4 linked regions of the Arabidopsis thaliana genome follow. The protein of the gene in region 4 interacts with the protein of the main gene of each other region in a pairwise test. Each region holds a gene or a part of one and is shown on either strand. Other genes may lie near its edges.

Region 1 (5,300 bases), on a different chromosome or scaffold from region 4:
ACAATGTGGCTCGCAGCTGAAGATTACCCATTGCTTTTAGGTTCTGCAGATCTCGGTGTCTGCTTACACACTTCCTCGTCGGGTTTAGACCTTCCCATGAAGGTAAGCACATTGTTTTTATAGCTCATATGTTAAGAAGCACATTGTTTTTAATAAGGTTAAGAAGATTTAAGACTTGATTTCCATTGTGTCAACTTGCTACCGATGTTTGGCGTTTTAGGTTGTTGATATGTTTGGATGTGGCCTCCCAGTTTGCTCGGTTTCCTACTCATGGTAAATAATCAATCACTTACATTACTTTCACGAACAAATACTATAACTTTAAAACCTTCAACTTTCGTGAAGCATTCAAGAACTCGTTAAAGATGGGAAGAACGGACTTTTGTTTTCATCTTCATCAGAATTAGCAGATCAATTATTGGTAAGTAACTCGTCTTTCTTTTTAAAAGACTATTTCACCAAGTCTACAGCAGAAGACAGCAGTAATGTTCTTGTGTTTTGTCTTTGTGAACAGATTCTCTTCAAGGGTTTTCCAGGGAACTGTGATGCACTAATGTCGCTTAAAGCGGGTGCAATGGAGACTGGTTCTTCGGGTCGATGGGCTACAGAGTGGGAAGATTGTGCAAAACCTTTAATCACTCAGGCAAAATCCGTCGGCCCTCTCTGTATCCCGCACACATACTTTTTTATTGGGCTATTTCTCATAAGATGTCTTTATGTCTGGTCTATGCAGGTCGTGTCTCAAATTGCAGATTCATGAAAGAGAAGACTCAAAATCGATGGGCTTGAGAGTTTCTCACACAACTGCTTTTGTAGATCCAAATTTTTATACAAAATCCTATAGATTACAAGATTGTCTCGAAAATATTGACAGAATCTGAATTCAAAATGGTTTCGCATGAGTCTGTGTATGAATGAGTAAATGATATCAAAATCTTTCTTAACCAAAAGTAAGGCCAAAGAAAAACACTGAAAGGCTCAAAGCAAATTCAACAGTTAATGTAACAATATAAAATAAAAAAAACTGAAGAAACCTGTGAATCCATAAACCAGCTAGCTTTAAACAAAAGACTCTGCCTTCTTCGTGATGTTTAAATCCATTTCCATCTTTTGTTTTTCCCTCGTGTCTGCATACTCGTATGGTCGGATAAAAATCCTTGTAAAACTTAGCAAAGAGACTCACTTTGCCTTCGTCTTAGTTTTCTTGAGGAGGCTGGAAGTTCTGAACTCAGCATCGTCTCTAATGAAGCTCCACCAGAGAATGGTTAAGGGAATTGTGGCAGCGTGCCAGATCGAGTGAGCATCGAAGTAGCCTTCATATGGAGGAAAATCATATATCTCTAGAAGCATGGCTAATCCTCCAGCTATCACAACCACCCAAAGTTTCCAATTAGAAGGGTGGCTTGAGACAGCGGCCCATCTTGCCCATAGGAAAAGCTGTGAGACTCCCATTGCCACACACACAATCATGTTCCAGCCTGTAAACGACATTCAACTGATGAATTCACCAAAAATATTGACTCGATTTTTAGACAACGGAAAGTTATTGAGGGTACCATAGTCGAGTTTGTAGAAGTTTATGTAGAGTATGTGGGTGGTTACAAAAGCTAGTATTGGAGCGGATACCATGACCCTTGCAGCCTCAACCCGAATATCAAATGTTCGTAAAATGGCTAAGATGAGTGAGAATCCGAGAATCGCTACTGCGGATGAGTAGTCCAACCTCTCTGTAAGGTCAACATCCCTGAGAACCACAGAGACGGATTACCAGAAAATCACATATGAATATATGATGCAGATTGTGGATAATAGAGTAATGTGTAGATGATTTACCGGCTGTGGAAAACAGCACTCCAGAACCAAGAGTTCATGGACAGGAGACCGTAGATATGCCACAAACCAACGTATTCATAGTACGCTGTCCTATCTTGTTTCAGAGGCAACTTATAGTAGATCATGATGAAAAAGGAAAGCCAACCATGGAAATGCATTGCTAGGTTGAGTACAGAGAAAGCAACAGAAGCAGGCTCCTGGCAAAGAACAAGGTAAGTCAAAACTCATATTATATGGAAACAACCAGAATAAAAAAAAGCGATTGAAGAAAAAAACTAACCTGAATCCCAAGTACACGCTTGAAGGGCCATTTACCATGGTACTTGACTGGGGCTTGACCGAGAGTTTCCCGTTCAGTCTCTCTATTAACCATACATTGATAACGGCAATCACCTTGACAACCCCATTTTTTCCATTGTAAATACAAAGGTTCTTGGATGTACCATGGACCACCATCGGATGAAGAATTGCACTGAGGAAAGCAAAGTTGTCCAACACAACCGCTTATCTCACATTCTGAAACACATGTCCTGACACAAAATTGCCAGACATTCATAATCTCCACGAATCAAAAATGTTGCTTACATATAAGCTACAACAAAACCAAGTTCACGATAGATACTCAAAGATTACCGAAATTCTAAGATTACCTGTAATCTGGATCAGCATCGCCAGCACTAGCATTTGAAATACAGAAAAGGCATGGCAACAATAGAAACAGGGCTGTCCAGTAGTGGACTGCCATCTGAGCAGAAAGTTGAAGTGAAATCACTGCGTGATAATAACAATGCAAGCCTCAAAAAACAAAGAAAGAAATCGCTTAAAGGAGCTGCAAATGGAAACTATGAATCAGAGACTATAAAAAAAAACTACAAATGTGAAGATCTTCATATGATGCTTCCGTTAAGAATCCTAAAGCAAGTGTTTATTCCAGTGAAAGAAATTCTCACATATCAATAAAAATCCTTCTATAATTCGACCTTGAAAGACTACAGAATCTCTTGGTTAAGGATCGAACTTGATTTCTGTAGAATCTAATACTATGATTTCCAGATTCGATCAGATTATCGAAAACTCAGAACTTAAATCAAATGCAGAGCTTAAACCCCCTCGAGATCTACCAATCAAGCAGGGACAACAACAACAAGATGAGAAATCGATCAGCTATAATGTAGAGAGCAAGAAAATAGAGAAAAAATCGAGCAGATCAGATAGAATCCAATACCTCCCGAGTCTGAGTCTGAGAGTCTGGTCTTCGCAACAATGTTAAAGCTTCAAAGAATATTATCGCACTCCTGTAAATAATGGAGACGACGAAAGAGAAGACCACGTGTCTTATAATTTAAACTAAACGACGTAGTTTTTGCATTATTCTTTTTCTTTCTAGTTTCTACCATTATCTGCTTTACAAAATGTCCCCCAAAAAAGAGTAACAAAACCTTCTTTCGTATTTATCTTATCTCAATAATATAATTGTTACAAGTACTCAGAAGAATGGGAATTTGCAGACATAATATAAGTAAGAGAGGTTTTAGTGCAAGGCAAAAAGAATGACCCTATGGTTTCCTTCCAATGCTTTCTTGGAGCTTTTTTGATAGTTCCTCATAGTGTCTTCTTTGCTGTTTGTTCACAGAAGGTGAGACTAAGGACAATGCTTGCTCGAAATGAGTCATCTTAATCGTACACTGACTTGTATCTGTAATATCGTCATCATCTTCACATGAAATTGTGGTGATCTCCTCCACTGCCTGGAATGTAGCTTTTTGCACCAAGTGAGCGAGATCAGCTCCGCTGAAACCTTCACAATTCATCTTTGCAATGCTATCAAGATCAACACTAGGATCTATGGGCTTCTTCCTTGCAATAGCTTTTAGAATTGAAGCACGTTCATCGGCGTTAGGGAGGGGTACATATAGAAGATTCCCAAACCTACCAGGTCTCAAGAACGCAGGATCAATTACATCTGGCCTGTTTGTAGCTCCAATTACGTATACATTACGCCTCTCTCCACCGTCTAGCTCAACAAGGAACTGGTTTAAAAGCCGTTCAACAACCCAGGCACCTTCTTTGCCACGGCTTGTTGTCAAAGCATCCACCTCATCAAAGAAGATCACACATGGCGAACATGTCCGGGCACGCTGAAACAATGTCCGAATAGCAAGCTCGCTCTCTCCAACGTACTTGTTTAGAAGCTCTGCACCCTTGATGTGCATGAAATTAGCTCCTGCCTCGTTAGCAACTGCCTTTGCAATCAATGTCTTGCCACAACCCGGTGGTCCATAGAGTAAAAATCCAACCTCTAAGTCTACCCCAAAAGCCTAAAAAGAACCAAAGTGGCACATTCAGACCTCGAGAGAAAAAGCAAGTAATCTTGACTATATAACAGTTCTAAGTGACTTATTAGTTACCTTGTAAATATCAGGCTTTTTGATAGGTCTGACTATATAGCGGTTGAATTCAAGTCGTAGATGCTCAAGTCCACCAACATCATCCCACTTGACATCAGGCACGATAGAGAATCCTTCCCTTGTTAAAGATGCCTGAACTAGATTCACTGCTTCCTAGTAGATTACAGAGCAACCAACAGAGTTAGGAACCAAGGATTAAAATCTCGTAGCTATTGAAGTACAGAAAAGTAGACTCATGCCATGCCTACAATTAACATACCTCGAAATCAGACATCTTAACAAAGAGTTTTTCCAACTCTTCTTCTGGCCAGGGATGCCTCAGCCAAGAACTATCATCTTCAGAGTCCCCAGCCAGTTGAGATTTTCTTGAATCCAAGATTCTCTTTGTGGCAATCCTGCCAGCCATGTTAGCAACACCCTCCAAATCTGCTCCAACAAAACCCGGCGTTAAACGAGCTATTCTTTTCTTGTCAAAGGGCCCTTCTAGTCTAAGTTTTTGGGCTACAACAGAAAGTATCTCAGCTCTTGCATCTTCATCTGGAACACCTAGAGCAATCTCACATTCAAATCGTCCACTTCTCCTCAAAGCAGGATCAAGAACATCAGGCCATTTGTAGCTCCAATAACGAGAACAAATCCAACACTAGACTCAGGACCATTGTTACCAGGTCCATCCATACAAGTCAATAATTGCGTTACAATCCGCTTTTCCATCTCCCTTTGCTGATTTTCCCTCTTTGATCCAATCGCATCAATCTCATCGATAAACACAATGGAAGGTGCAGTCCTATACGCTTTAGAGAAAAGCTCTCTAAGATTCTCTTCAGAAGCACCAGAGACACCAGAAACCACATCTGTAGCTGAAATCTTATAAAACGGAACACCAACTTCATTGGCTATAGCATTAGCCAACTTGGTCTTCCCACAGCCAGGTGGTCCATGAAATAGAATCCCACTCGGTGGCTTAACTCCAATCTTCTTAAACGGTTCAGGATTGAGAATCGGGAACAAAACATTCCTCTCCAGTTCATCCAACACTTTCTTAATCCCACCAAAATC
Region 2 (4,731 bases), on a different chromosome or scaffold from region 4:
AAGACTTATTTTTTATGTTCTACCAATCGTCGTCGTCTCTCACGCAAATTCTTCATTCGTTCTGTGGAAACACAGAAATGGAGACTCCATATCCGAAACTCATCGATCCTTCAAAGACTCGAATAGGATGGATTGGCATCGGGATAATGGGATCGGCCATGGTTTCTCATATTATCGCCGCAGGCTATTCTGTCACAGTTTACGCTCGCGACCTCCGGAAAACAAAAGATCTGCAAACCAAAGGAGCTCGCATAGCCAATAGCCCCAAAGAGTTAGCGGAGATGAGCGACGTTGTGTTCACGATTGTTGGAAACTTCAACGATGTCCGATCATTGCTTCTCGGTGACGATGGTGTACTCTCTGGTCTTACGCCCGGTGGAGTAACAGTGGACATGACTAGTAGCAAACCAGGATTGGCGCGTGAAATACACGCAGAAGCGAGGCGTAGGAATTGTTGGGCGGTGGATGCGCCGGTATCAGGTGGAGACGCTGGAGCACGAGAGGGGACGTTAGGGATTTTCGCCGGCGGAGATTCAGAGATTGTGGAGTGGTTGTCCCCGGTGATGAAGAATATAGGGACTGTTACTTATATGGGAGAAGCAGGGAGTGGGCAAAGCTGCAAGATAGGGAATCAGATTGCTGGTGCGAGCAACCTGGTTGGACTTGCTGAAGGGATAGTGTTCGCTGAGAAAGCGGGTTTAGATACAGTGAAATGGCTCGAGGCGGTGAAGGATGGTGCAGCTGGATCGGCGGTTATGCGGCTGTTTGGGGAGATGATTGTGAAGAGGGATTATAGGGCGACTGGCTTTGCGGAGTATATGGTGAAAGATTTGGGAATGGCTGCAGAGGCGGCGATGCCTGGTGCTGCTCTGAGCAAGCAGTTGTTCACTGGAATGGTGGCTAATGGAGATGGCAAGTTAGGTATTCAAGGCGTCGTCTCTGTTATTAGAAGACTTAACGGCATATCCTGAAAACACTTGTGTTGTAAAACAGAGTGTTCCAATGATTTCACGATCAACTAGGCAAACTTGTCTTCGATTTGGTTTAAGTTGATAATAAGAAGAACATCGAGTCTCACCAATCTCAATAAGAAACAAAGGGCATTTATGAATGGTAGAGTGCAGCATTTTGATAAGATTACAGATCGCTAACATTAGTTTCCAACTGGATCATAAATCTGTACCTTCTATATCTAATTCTATTAGCCAGTAACCGTAAACACACAAACTATCAAAAGAAAAAGATCATCTTACATTTTACGAGTCAACAAAATAATCTACCGAGTCTCTTCGACTGCAACGTTGGAGTAGCTATGCTCGAACCGTTCTTCCTCGGATCCTTTCTTCCATGTCTTATACAAGCTAATCCTGTGTTTTAACAAAATGATGTAAAACAATGAGAACAAGAATATGGGTCTGCCACGTCGGGTCGTTTCATATACATGAGGATGAAAATGTACCTCTCAGTTTGAACGGTTCTTTTCGCAAGCATGAGGGTAAGGAAGACAGGGACCATAGCGGCACACAGATGCTTCAGAGAATGCCCACTAATAATATGATGAGTCCAGCTATATATAGGCTTATCCGCAGCTTCTTCCACCTTGGCTAAGAGATAGAACCCTGCAATTCCAGACAATTGAATCTAGAATAAGAGCCAGAAAGTAACAACAAAGCTTCAAGAGCAAAGCAAACTAAATATGTATCAACACAACAATAAGCACTAACCTGCAGCCCATAGCCAATAAGTGGAATGTGTATACATTGGAGGCAATAAAATAGCCATCAACGGAATCACAATGCAAGGAACAAACTGAACCAAAGCATATGGCCTAAGGTCATCGAAAAACCTACAATCACAGCCTCATGTCAGCTTACTCTATCTCAACATTGTATCGCTAAAACCACTAGAGATAGTTTAAGGATTTGACTAACCTCCAATACAAAATGCTAACAAGACCAGCAAGAAGTAAAGGAGCAATGGAGTAAGTACCCTTATGCTCATCAATCCTCTCGATTACAAATATAGCCATGATTGATGTGAAAGCAATAGTCATCTAAACCAAAAAGCAATCGAAACCAGTGATCAAAAACAAAACAAAGCAAACAAAATCTCAGAGAAGAGAAGAGAAAGAATAAGAGCGTACGGGAAGACGATCCCAGAGGAGAGTAGCATCGTTTGGGTGAAGATGATAGTAAGAAGATCCAAAAGCAACAGCAGCTACACCGATGTAAAAGCAAGTCCATCCTATTTTCTCACCTCGCAAACTGTTTCAATACACAGAGACTTTAACTAATTTGAATCTGGATTTCACAAAGAAGAAGTATGTAATTACGCACCTAAAGCTAAAGTAATCTTCTGGGTAAAAGCAGAGGATAAGACCAATAAGGCCGATGATGAGGAAAGGGAAGTTGGAGATGACGTTTAAAAAATTTGGAATCCCTGAGAAAATGGATTTGTAAGATCAAAACCCTAAAAATTCAAAAGGGTATTTAAGAAGAAAATGATGATGATGAGAGAAGAGTGTGAATTTTATACCGAGGAAGGAGCGTTGATCGGCGAAATTGTGGTAAGCCTGAGATTGAGGGATTGTGGGAGTGACGATCATAAGTATTATGAAGATTAAAATCGCCGATCCCCACGCGGACATCGTTCGCTTCTTCATCGTCTTCTTCTTCTTCTACTTCAGAGAGAGATGAGATTCTCAGGTTTGACTCTTCTTCTTTTTTTTTTTTCTTTTTGGGGTCGATGTCAGTAAAGGCGTTAAGAAATTGGAAATGTTGAAATTACAACGACAAGGGCAAAACGGTAAATGCCATTGTGATAAGCTTTCAACTCTCTCCGTCATATTTGTTAAATTTAGTACAAGTTAAAACTCCGATTAGTACTAACACGCATAATGGTGGAATGCATTTCCGATTTCTAGTACGATAATGTAAGAATTTTATCAATTATGAAAATTTGTATGAATTCTTAATGCAAGATTTACGTTTTCGTCTTATAAAATACAAGTAAGAATTCATTAGACAAAGTTATTTCAAGTCCAATGCTCAACTTATTTATAGCAAAGGTAAGCCTTGCCAAACTCCATATTCTTTTGGAGCCGTGTTGTCATTTTTGATTTGGTTGTTGTGTCTTTCTCTTGGCTCCTGAAACAAAAGCCGGCTGATTCGGAAAGTTGAGGTTGTGGTCCATCAAAGAGTGGTCTCACCTTTAGACTGCAAGATCATAGTCTATCTGTTGTATATATTTTGCTTCCATGTTTTTAATTATTATTTTTTTTATGCCATGGGATCAAATCTTTAGGTTATACATTTCTTGTTAAACCTATATAAAGAAACTTTAGTCGGCATTCTAACAACTTGTTTTGGAAAACTTGAGTTTTAGCTTCGCAAAGAAATTTCTATTTGGATTACAAGTTATGGGCCTTTGGTAGATAATCCTCTCGGATCGGGTACTAGAGCATGTAAATCGTGATCTTGAGGCATACTAAGAAGAGGTTTACCATAGGGAGATAAACATAACTTCTACATCTATATATGATTTATGAGATTCCCAACACGAAACCAAACATGATCTAAGCAAGAAGAGGAATATTATAAGTTGCGATATGCATCATCAAAGATATTCTGTTGATTCTATACCTCACTATATATCATTTGCACTTTGTGTTGTCACGAAGCGAAGAAATGATGTTGTTCTTTAACACTGTGATGTAGTCATCACCTTCACATGGCTTCTCATCCATCTACACTTTCCCATATACATTTTGCAATTGTTAGTTCTCTCAAAAAAGAACATCCAATGTATATATGTAAATACTATCCAATGACTTTTTAGTGCCATACTATCGAATTGCTAAAAACTAATTTTGAATTTAGTTTAGTGTTTTTGGTCCATAGATCTAGGATCAGCCATTGATAATACATGCAAATATATGTAAATCATCCCTCTTTATACATAATGCTACACTCAAATCCAGGTTCATTGAGGTCGAAACAGTCTCTCTCCCACCAATAGAATCAATATATCTTAAGAACAAAAACCATTGGTTTATGAACTTAATGATAAACCATTAGTCCTATATCTTTTCTAAACGTTATATAATCTTAACATAATCTCAATGCTTAGCTAAAGTTAAAACACAATCCTCCCATGACTTGGACCCTAAACATGTATTGTTTGGAGAAGAAAAGTTACATCATTGTTCATATCCATGAAGACTAGCACATTGTCTCCATTCTATCAAAACATAAACTAAAGAGAAATGAAGAAGATAAGATGAGACACAGTACCTTGACATGGAAGTTGTAGCAAACCACCCTTTGCTCTCGGCAAACTTGAGAAGTAGAAGCACTTAAAACACTCAAACCTTGCACCTCCATTACATGAAGCAAGTTGGAGAACTCATCTTCGTTTTCTTTCTTCAAGCATATCTGTACAACAGCCTCATAACCTGATTCCCCCAATTCAAGAACCGAGATTGCTCGAATAGAAGGACCTCGTCTCTCTAACTCCACAAGCTTCTGCTTTCTTAGAGTTAGCTCTCCAACTTCATTCTGTAGCTTGGGAATGTAAGTGATTACATTATCGATTATAGATGGTGCAGACCATTTCTTCTGCCAATCAGCAAGAAAAGTTATATATAGCTCAACAACAAGCAGAACATACCTAACTTGTAATAATAACAGTGAAAACAAAACCTTTGAAGAAGAAGAAGAATGGTCAGGAAGA
Region 3 (3,814 bases), on a different chromosome or scaffold from region 4:
TTTATTGATTTTAGCAATCACTTAATTAGTAAATCTTTTCTATGCACTACATGGACCCACATTAAATTACATTACTTAATTGTAGATATTTCAGTGAATCTAAATTAAATTTTGTAAAAAAAAATGTATTTTTATTTGGAAAAAATAATTGTTGTTAGCAATAAATTAATAGATACTATAAATGATTGTAAGTTTGTTTAGAAATTAAATTTACCACATTTGGCTAAAAATTGGGTAAATCACCATAACAGTATTCTATATAAGTAATTTATCTTAGACCAATTATGTAGCGACAAATGTACATTAGTAGATTTACTTCCTTGTTTTTTTGGGGCCACCTTTCGGCCACTTGATAAGTAAAATTTCTTTCTATTTGGGCCAAAGTAACTTCTTATTGTAGAACCGGTAACGAAATTGACTCAAACAACCCATGAGACTCACACATATTATTCCTCGCTGAACTGACACGTGGCATTATTTCAAAGAAGTAGAGATTTTTACCTTGAATGTAAAGATTTTTTATTTTAGTTTTTCCAAAACTCTACTTTATAGCAATTCAAAATTTTGCAAAAAATACTTTCCCTAAAAAACAGAGGATCTAGTATTTTACTTGGGTTGTTACAAAATTTCAAAGAAAAACCAAAACCCATTGTAAGACTTTTTCATCTTTTGCTTTTAACTAACAATATATAGTACATCAATATATATATATATATATATATATATATATATATATATATATATATATATTGAACTCAGCTCATAAGAGGGGAAAAAAGAAAGAAAGATGTAATTCGAATTTTTGAAGATCATTGGTCGTTGGATTATTGGAAAAGATAAAATGCTGAATAACAAACATATCACAAAAGAGATTATTAGATTCTTGAATCGATCTGATAGCTAACCACATCAAAGTTATTTTTTTGAATGAACCACACTAAGTTTTAATTTGCTAACGAGTTCGACATGATCTTACTTCGCCGTGAGACGGGAATGACACTGCGCGTTTTATCCTCGGCATCTTCTTGTCATCCGGAGCAACCACAACGGCTAAACTTTGGCAGCTGTTTTTCACCGTTTCTTCAGTTCGTTTAGTCGTCTCGGTACTCTGATTCTGCACCACACACGGTTCTTTGCTTGGAGTTGAATCCACAATCTGATCTGAGCCGCGCCTGACGAGAATATGAAGACCGATCAAGATGACAAGAGGAAGACACATCAAGAACAATGCATAGTAGATGATCCACCCGAATCCCGTGTGACTCTTTCCGTGACAGATCCACTCAATGACTAAAGCCATTCCTGAGGTGAATGTAGTCAAGCTGCTTAGGACAAAAACTTTGACAATCCCCGGATTCGGAATTTGCAAGAAGGCTCTTGCGGCGCCAAGAAACCATATCTCTTGTGACCGTTGATGCGTCTCCACATGCGCCACTGTGGCTTTCTCCATCATTTTGTTGTTGTTTATGCTTACTTTGTGTTTTATTTTTTGTTCTCTCCTCTCGGTATAAAAAGAAACTAACAAGTGAAAGAAAAAAGGGGTAACAGATTTTGCTATCAAAGGGGTAACAGATTTTGATTTTTAACTGTTACGATTTTATTTTATTTTTTGAGGTCAAAACACAGATTTTTTATGCAAACCATTTTTGCCCATCCAAAAGATACACATAACAATGGTTTTACCATACACAACAAAGAACAAACTATGGACAATAAAGACAAAGACAACACCTAATCTTAAGAAGACGAGAGAAACATACTTGGACTGTGTAAACAACAGAGGCTACTTGATAGTGATGTAGCGGTTTGTCCCGTGCCTAGCCCAATAGTCTTTAAGATCAACAGGACACGAGAGATCATATCCTTCTGCTGATAAACGGCTGAGTAATCTCGAGAAAACGTTTCCGCTCATTTTCCTACCGCCCATCCGAGAATGCCTCTTGTTTGGCATCTGCGGTAATGGATACTGGGATAAGGTGGTTGTGCAGCAAGACGATTGCCAGCCGCCATTTCCCCATTTGTAACACTGACGCGTAGAGCCTGTGCACGAACACATGGGTACAGGCATTGTCGTCTCATCGAAGGTGACTAAGTTCAAACCGACATCTTGACTGTCCCAATCTGTTCTAGATTTCTTTCCAGGAGCAGGAACTCGACGGTTCAGATCTTCACCCACTTTTTTCACCTTTGATAGTCCCTGCTTGTTCTCTTTCTTCCTTTTGTTCACCACCTTCGTGTTTGTAACCTCAGGCGGAATAGTTGACAAAGGGAAGACTTCAAGTTTGTGGGGTTCCCCAATACCAAAACAATCATCTCCATCAACACACTTCCCACCAGACAAAGCAAAGTTGAGACTATTTTCATGGTGTTGAAGAGCAGCATAAGCATTATCTCTCTCTATCAAAGCTTTATCTCTCTCAGAAAGAGCTTTGTCACGTTGCTGAAGCGCTTCGTCCCGAGCAGCGACAGCTTCCTTTTTAGCAGAGACAGCTTGATTTCTTTCATGTACAGCAGCGTCTCTCTCAGCAAGGATGGACATGATCTTCTTATTCATCACCAACGCATTATGTTGTTCCTTAATCTGATGCTGGGGAATCATATTCCACTGTAACAAACATTCTTTGCTTATATAACTTCAATCACACTAACAAAAACATATCTTTAGGAAACCAAAAATCTTAAGTCTTACCATAGATTGTGCACCTTTGAAGTAATCGGGCTTGAACCGCGCATTATCATACTGACCACCATTCTCCATAACTCTTATAATCTTCAAACAGTGAAACACCGAACCAATCAAGCTTCTCCTCCAAACACACTCAGCAACAGTGAAACCAAATTTCAAACATTGTGATTCGATCTATGAAAACAATTGAAGAGTAAGAATTACAAGCAGATATTAGCACACTGAACTCGCAATTCACTATCTTCAAACAAAATCAAAACTTCTCGAATTGATCTGCCAGTTAGGGTTCCGCAATTGATTCAGATACCAAAATCAATCTGAGCTAGTCAGAGAAACAGGTCTTAAGGAACAATTTTACGAAAATTGGAATAAATTAGGTCAAGATCAAAAAGGTCGAATCAATCTAAACCTTCCATGACAAGAGATTATTCCGCGAAACAATAGAAAACAAGGGTGAAACTGAAATTATAAACCCTAGAGATACAACACATTCAAAATTGATTAACAAATAAATTAAAGAGAGGAAAAGGCGCGAAAGCTTACGAATTCGATGAGCTTCTGGAAAAAATCTGGGCAAAATGGATAATTGATCGAGAAGAAAGATCCAAAGGGTAGAGAGAGAGAGAGATAGTGTCTCTGTCCGCGAAGAAGCTCAATGTACTTACTTCGTCATTTACCAAATTACCCTCTTCTCTACTACTAAACAAGAGAAATCAAGGGTATACTCGTCTTTTTAAATATCCTCTTTCAGTTACAATAATGATTCATTGTGGATTTAAGCATATAAATAGAGAAGAGAGAAATCTATATCACTTTCCATCAATGTGTGATATTGTAGTACTTAAGAAATCATAATCTGTTTAACAACATGAGTTTATGTATGAAAGATAGGCTCACAAACATTTGAGAATGTTTCAGGTAAAGCTATGGCTTCTTCTCGTTGTTTATCTTCTTAAGCTTCATTTATTCATGTAGATAGAGAGAGTGTGATCAAGCGTAGAGATCAATGTTCCAAAACTTGGCTGGTTGGTTCGTGCGGTATTTCCTCTCCATGCTTTTGATCACTTCCATGTCCTCTTTCGATAGTTCGAAGTCGAAAACCTGAAAGTTCTCTTCCAATCTCGCAGG
Region 4 (4,500 bases):
TCTTGTTGCAGGCTATGTTTGAAGGGATTCTTGTTGATATACCATTTGCAACGTTTTTCCTCAGCAAACTGAAACAAAAGTATGTAAATTTAATTTCTACCTCAATTTCCTGTCACTTCATTCGTTTTTTAAGCCCGCATAGACTTTTTGAACATGTTGTGAAACTTCTATTGTTCTTTGGCTAGGTACAACTATTTGAACGATTTGCCTTCTCTGGATCCTGAGTTGTATAGGCACCTTATATTTCTGAAGGTGAGTTTTGCTGAACATTCTATTTAATTGTTGCTTTGTAGAACGGGGAGATAGTTGCTAGCATAGATGTGCGAGAATGCTGAAATCTGTTTGTTTGTTTTTGTTTCGAAACTGAAATTTGTTTGTTTACCTACCTACGATAATTTTGGCTCTTTTTTTTTTTTTTTTTTTTGCTTCTTAGCTTTATACACCTTTTTATGTATTCATTATGATATTTGCAGCGTTATAAGGGTGATATCTCAGACTTGGAGCTTTACTTTGTTATTTTGAATAATGAATATGGAGAGAGGACAGAGGAAGAGCTACTTCCAGGGGGCCAAGACATGCGAGTTACAAATGAGAATGTTATAACTTTCATTCATCTGGTTTCCAATCATCGGTTAAATTTTCAGGTACTGGGGAACCACTTACCTCTCATTTATCTTGGCATACCTGAGGTCACCCTGTAAATCAACAGCTATTGATATCATCTCATTTGCAGATACGCCAGCAGAGTTCTCATTTCTTGAGGGGGTTTCAGCAACTCATTCCGAAAGAATGGATCGACATGTTCAATGAACATGAGCTTCAGGTGCCAATTAAGTGTATAATTATACTTGCTTTGTTAGTTGTTCCCTCGAGGAGCATGAAGAGAGAAATTTTACCTTTGTGGGCTTTGGTTGCAGGTTCTCATATCTGGTTCAGTTGATAGTTTGGATATAGACGACTTGCGAAACAACACTAATTATGCTGGAGGCTACCACGCGGTGAGTGGTTCTTCACTGTTAGCCGAAATGCCATTGTGAATTAGTGTAGGGACACTTTTGGAGTATTGTTATATATGATTATATCGCTATGTTGTTGACACTTGACAGGGACATTATGTGATCGATATGTTCTGGGAAGTTATGAAAAGCTTCTCAACTGAAAACCAGAAGAAGTTCTTAAAGTAAGCAAACTTTGCAGTTACTACTACAGTCTGTGTACGCAATGATTTACCGGAGTCTATGAATTTTCTAAGGGAACTAAGAGGTACCTCTATTTTTCAATTTCAGGTTTGTGACAGGCTGCTCACGAGGACCACTGCTGGGTTTCAAATACTTGGAACCTGCATTCTGCATACAGAGGTAATATACACAGACTCACAATCGTTTTGACTTTTGATGGGCCCTGGACAATAGAATCATAAAATATCCATCCTCGATGGAATGTGTATCAGGGCTGCCGGTAGTGCGAGTAATGAATCAGTTGATAGACTACCGACATCAGCCACTTGTATGAATCTTCTTAAGCTTCCGCCCTATCAAAGGTTTGTCCTCTCATAACACAAACTCTTTGGTTTTGCTTAGCTAAGAGACTTGTTTTGTTGCCAAATAGCTTCTCTTGGTGTTGTAATTGGAAAAAGCAAATAAAGCATGTCTTGTTGTTAATGATGCAGCAAAGAGCTACTTGAGACCAAATTGATGTACGCCATAAGCGCAGAAGCGGGTTTTGATCTGAGCTGATGGAATAGCTTCCTGCCTTAAACACAGACTTCAATGGCCCCAAATTGACACCCTTTTTTCTAGCATTCCTCGTTATGGTATAAACCGGGTAACCTGTAGACTGAGGCAGGCTTGTTGGCTCTAAGCATCTAAGAGACGGATCTAGAAGGAGAACATGTAGTAGAGATTACTTGACTAATGGGTTTCATTTGCAGCTCTCGGGTATTCGCTTTCAAAAAGTGTGACAAAAAAAAAAAAGTGATTACAGGGAAGTCTTTATTTGGAAGCTCCTGAGAGTTAGTCTTGGGTTAAAAATTCAATAAAAGAAATGGTAAATAAGACTGGTCTCAAGAGGAACTTAAATGCTGTAAATTATTTTGCTTAATTAATGCATGTTACACAGAACATAGATGATTATTTTGATACTTATTTGCATCATACCATATATCTTCTATAAAAAGATGCATTTTAGTGACTTAGTGGTAAGAATATCCTTTTTTTTTTTTTTTTGTCATATGATAATTATTAAAACAGAAACAAAATGACAGAAAAATAACGAGAAATACAAAATGAAATTTAAACTTTACTTTCCTTAGACACTTGATTGTGAAGTCATGAAGGCTCTCCAAGTGCTAAGTAAAACTTAGACTGAAACCTTCTGTCTTGAATCACACTCCCAAGAAATGGAACGCGCGATCAGATTTGCGTTTGTGGCAATATGACGGAATGTACAAGATTCAAATGCACTAACAATCTCATGGATTTGTGTTAACCAATTTCTATAGAAAGGCTATTTGGACGGCTGCAAAACGGCGTTAAGTGCGGCTGGACAGTCCAACTCTATTATCACCGTGGTAAGAATATCTCTATATACATTTTTTGTCGCACTTATCATGATTAATCAAGTAAACATAATTGTTACAAACACTTTATAAATTAAAAAAGCTTCAATTCAATTTGCACAGAAAAGAAAAAAAAAAGAAGAAGATTCAATACAGAGTATACCAGGAGCATCTGGTAATGTTTATATCTGAGGACGTTTTATTTAATTTTTTGGAACGAAAACAATAATCCGACGATCGTATTTGCACGTCGCAAATCCGCTCTTTTAATCAAAGATCTCGACCGTCCATTTTTAGTTAAGACTTTAGAGAGCTGATAAGTGGAATAGTGGAGATTTGCATTCGCAGGGGATAAGGATCAAAAATGGAGGAAGCAAAGGGACCTGTGAAGCACGTATTGCTTGCTAGTTTCAAAGATGGGGTTAGTCCTGAGAAAATCGAAGAGCTCATCAAAGGTTACGCCAATCTCGTCAATCTCATCGAACCTATGAAAGCTTTCCACTGGTTAGTAAATTTGGATTCTGAATTGCTTCCTAGTGTTAGACATATGCTCGAGATCCGAAAAACACTTCCATCAACTCAATATGATTATGTAAAACTAAGCAATTTGGGGAAATTCATGACCTTCCTAGTGTTGATCTAATTTCCCTCAGAGAGAATCCATCTCCATTGATGATCTTTTGAAAAGTTAAATCAACTAAATCGACGAATCTGCTCTTGTCTTATTGAATTATTGGATCTGTATAATTTTAGGGGAAAAGATGTGAGCATTGAGAATCTGCATCAAGGTTACACACACATCTTTGAATCCACATTTGAGAGTAAAGAAGCTGTTGCAGAGTACATTGCTCATCCTGCTCACGTTGAATTCGCCACCATCTTCCTTGGCAGCTTGGATAAAGTTTTGGTTATTGACTACAAGCCTACCTCTGTCTCTCTCTAATTATCTTGTAGCAGCATTTTCATCATTGATCTTTTTCTCGGGTATGCATCTTGTATGTTGAATAAAGTATATTCCTTTTGAGTTTTCCTGCATTGTTCTCATGTTTCTCTGTGAATTTCTCTCTTTTTTGTTTGTTTGTTTGTTTCCTTCTGTTGTATTATACTTGATCTGTAAAAAGATCATGAGTTTATTAAGAGTGTTTGATTTCAGACTCCTCTTTGTTATAAGTCTATTACTAGTTGTTGTCTCTTAGTTTCTTTTATCAATAGAGTTGAGTTATATGGAATAACAAGTTGAAAAGAAACCAGGTTCTTGTTGATGTGTGGGTTGGAGAAAAAAAGTTCTTTGATTATATATGTAACATTTATGCATTACTGTTTAATGTAATCGTCTAATGAGTATGATGAAGGGAGATTGAATCAATCCCACTCTCACATCATGTTTGAGATGACAAGTACAATGCCACAAATATTCTGAAAATCACCACTGTTCTTCACAGCTGAAGGATCAACTTTGAAATCCGCCATGTCTTGTTCACATGTTGAAGGTCCTTCCATAGCTGCTGAAACCTTAATGTTCAACCCTTTGCCATCGCCTGACGCCAGGCTCTGCTTAGCATCATTGAGACTGCTTATTGCACTCTTATAATGTTGTACACATGAGGTGTATGCTTTCTTCATAGTGGGGTTGGTTGCTGTCTTGACTAGAGATTGAATTTTCCTGAAACCTTCTGATGCACTTGTTTGTGCAGAACCAAATGTGATATTTGCAAGCGTTTGAAGATCAGCACCTGAGGTCTTTGGGTTGGATTTCATGTAGCTCGTACAGAAGGATTGGTTTTTCGCTTTTCCACATATCGCTTTTATGTCTGCCACTTGTGCGTTCAAAGAACCAGTCATTACAAAAAACATCAGAGAAGACATTAAAACTCTGTTCGTCAGGTATGCTGCCATCTTTGCTTCTTTCTTTCTTATGTTCGTTGGTAGATGATGGTTAAGTT

Evidence for each region.
Region 1: the proteins of HS1 (region 4) and AT1G16560 interact in a protein complementation assay, tested with the Arabidopsis thaliana proteins (one large-scale study listed by BioGRID).
Region 2: the proteins of HS1 (region 4) and SAG18 interact in a protein complementation assay, tested with the Arabidopsis thaliana proteins (one large-scale study listed by BioGRID).
Region 3: the proteins of HS1 (region 4) and AT2G21237 interact in a protein complementation assay, tested with the Arabidopsis thaliana proteins (one large-scale study listed by BioGRID).

Annotation. Positions count from the first base shown.
Region 1 is NC_003070.9:5,666,223-5,671,522, reverse strand, and holds AT1G16560 (Per1-like family protein), read right to left. Parts: upstream 3,140-5,300; 5' UTR 3,059-3,139; exon of another isoform or gene 2,605-3,058; 5' UTR 2,579-2,604; coding exon 2,484-2,578; intron 2,364-2,483; coding exon 2,114-2,363; coding exon of another isoform or gene 2,110-2,113; intron 2,031-2,109; coding exon 1,834-2,030; intron 1,745-1,833; coding exon 1,557-1,744; intron 1,479-1,556; coding exon 1,180-1,478; 3' UTR 815-1,179; downstream 1-814. Other genes in the region: AT1G16570 (UDP-Glycosyltransferase superfamily protein), read left to right, coding at 1-102, 221-273, 346-643, 734-760.
Region 2 is NC_003070.9:26,832,321-26,837,051, forward strand, and holds SAG18 (senescence associated gene 18), read right to left. Parts: upstream 2,741-4,731; 5' UTR 2,663-2,740; coding exon 2,536-2,662; intron 2,440-2,535; coding exon 2,337-2,439; intron 2,265-2,336; coding exon 2,144-2,264; intron 2,054-2,143; coding exon 1,932-2,053; intron 1,847-1,931; coding exon 1,725-1,846; intron 1,620-1,724; coding exon 1,460-1,619; intron 1,390-1,459; exon of another isoform or gene 1,368-1,389; coding exon 1,277-1,367; 3' UTR 1,086-1,276; downstream 1-1,085. Other genes in the region: AT1G71180 (6-phosphogluconate dehydrogenase family protein), read left to right, coding at 15-971; AT1G71200 (basic helix-loop-helix (bHLH) DNA-binding superfamily protein), read right to left, coding at 3,653-3,745, 4,293-4,731.
Region 3 is NC_003071.7:9,099,732-9,103,545, forward strand, and holds AT2G21237 (uncharacterized protein), read right to left. Parts: upstream 1,485-3,814; 5' UTR 1,454-1,484; coding exon 953-1,453; 3' UTR 805-952; downstream 1-804. Other genes in the region: BPC4 (basic pentacysteine 4), read right to left, coding at 1,784-2,605, 2,690-2,758; AT2G21250 (NAD(P)-linked oxidoreductase superfamily protein), read right to left, coding at 3,677-3,814.
Region 4 is NC_003074.8:5,879,397-5,883,896, forward strand, and holds HS1 (heat stable protein 1), read left to right. Parts: upstream 1-2,522; 5' UTR 2,523-2,569; intron 2,570-2,668; exon of another isoform or gene 2,669-2,680; 5' UTR 2,681-2,921; coding exon 2,922-3,061; intron 3,062-3,310; coding exon 3,311-3,500; 3' UTR 3,501-3,804; downstream 3,805-4,500. Other genes in the region: UPL6 (ubiquitin protein ligase 6), read left to right, coding at 12-79, 186-252, 474-644, 734-823, 918-998, 1,107-1,180, 1,287-1,358, 1,451-1,540 and 1 more; PMEI2 (pectin methylesterase inhibitor 2), read right to left, coding at 3,932-4,453.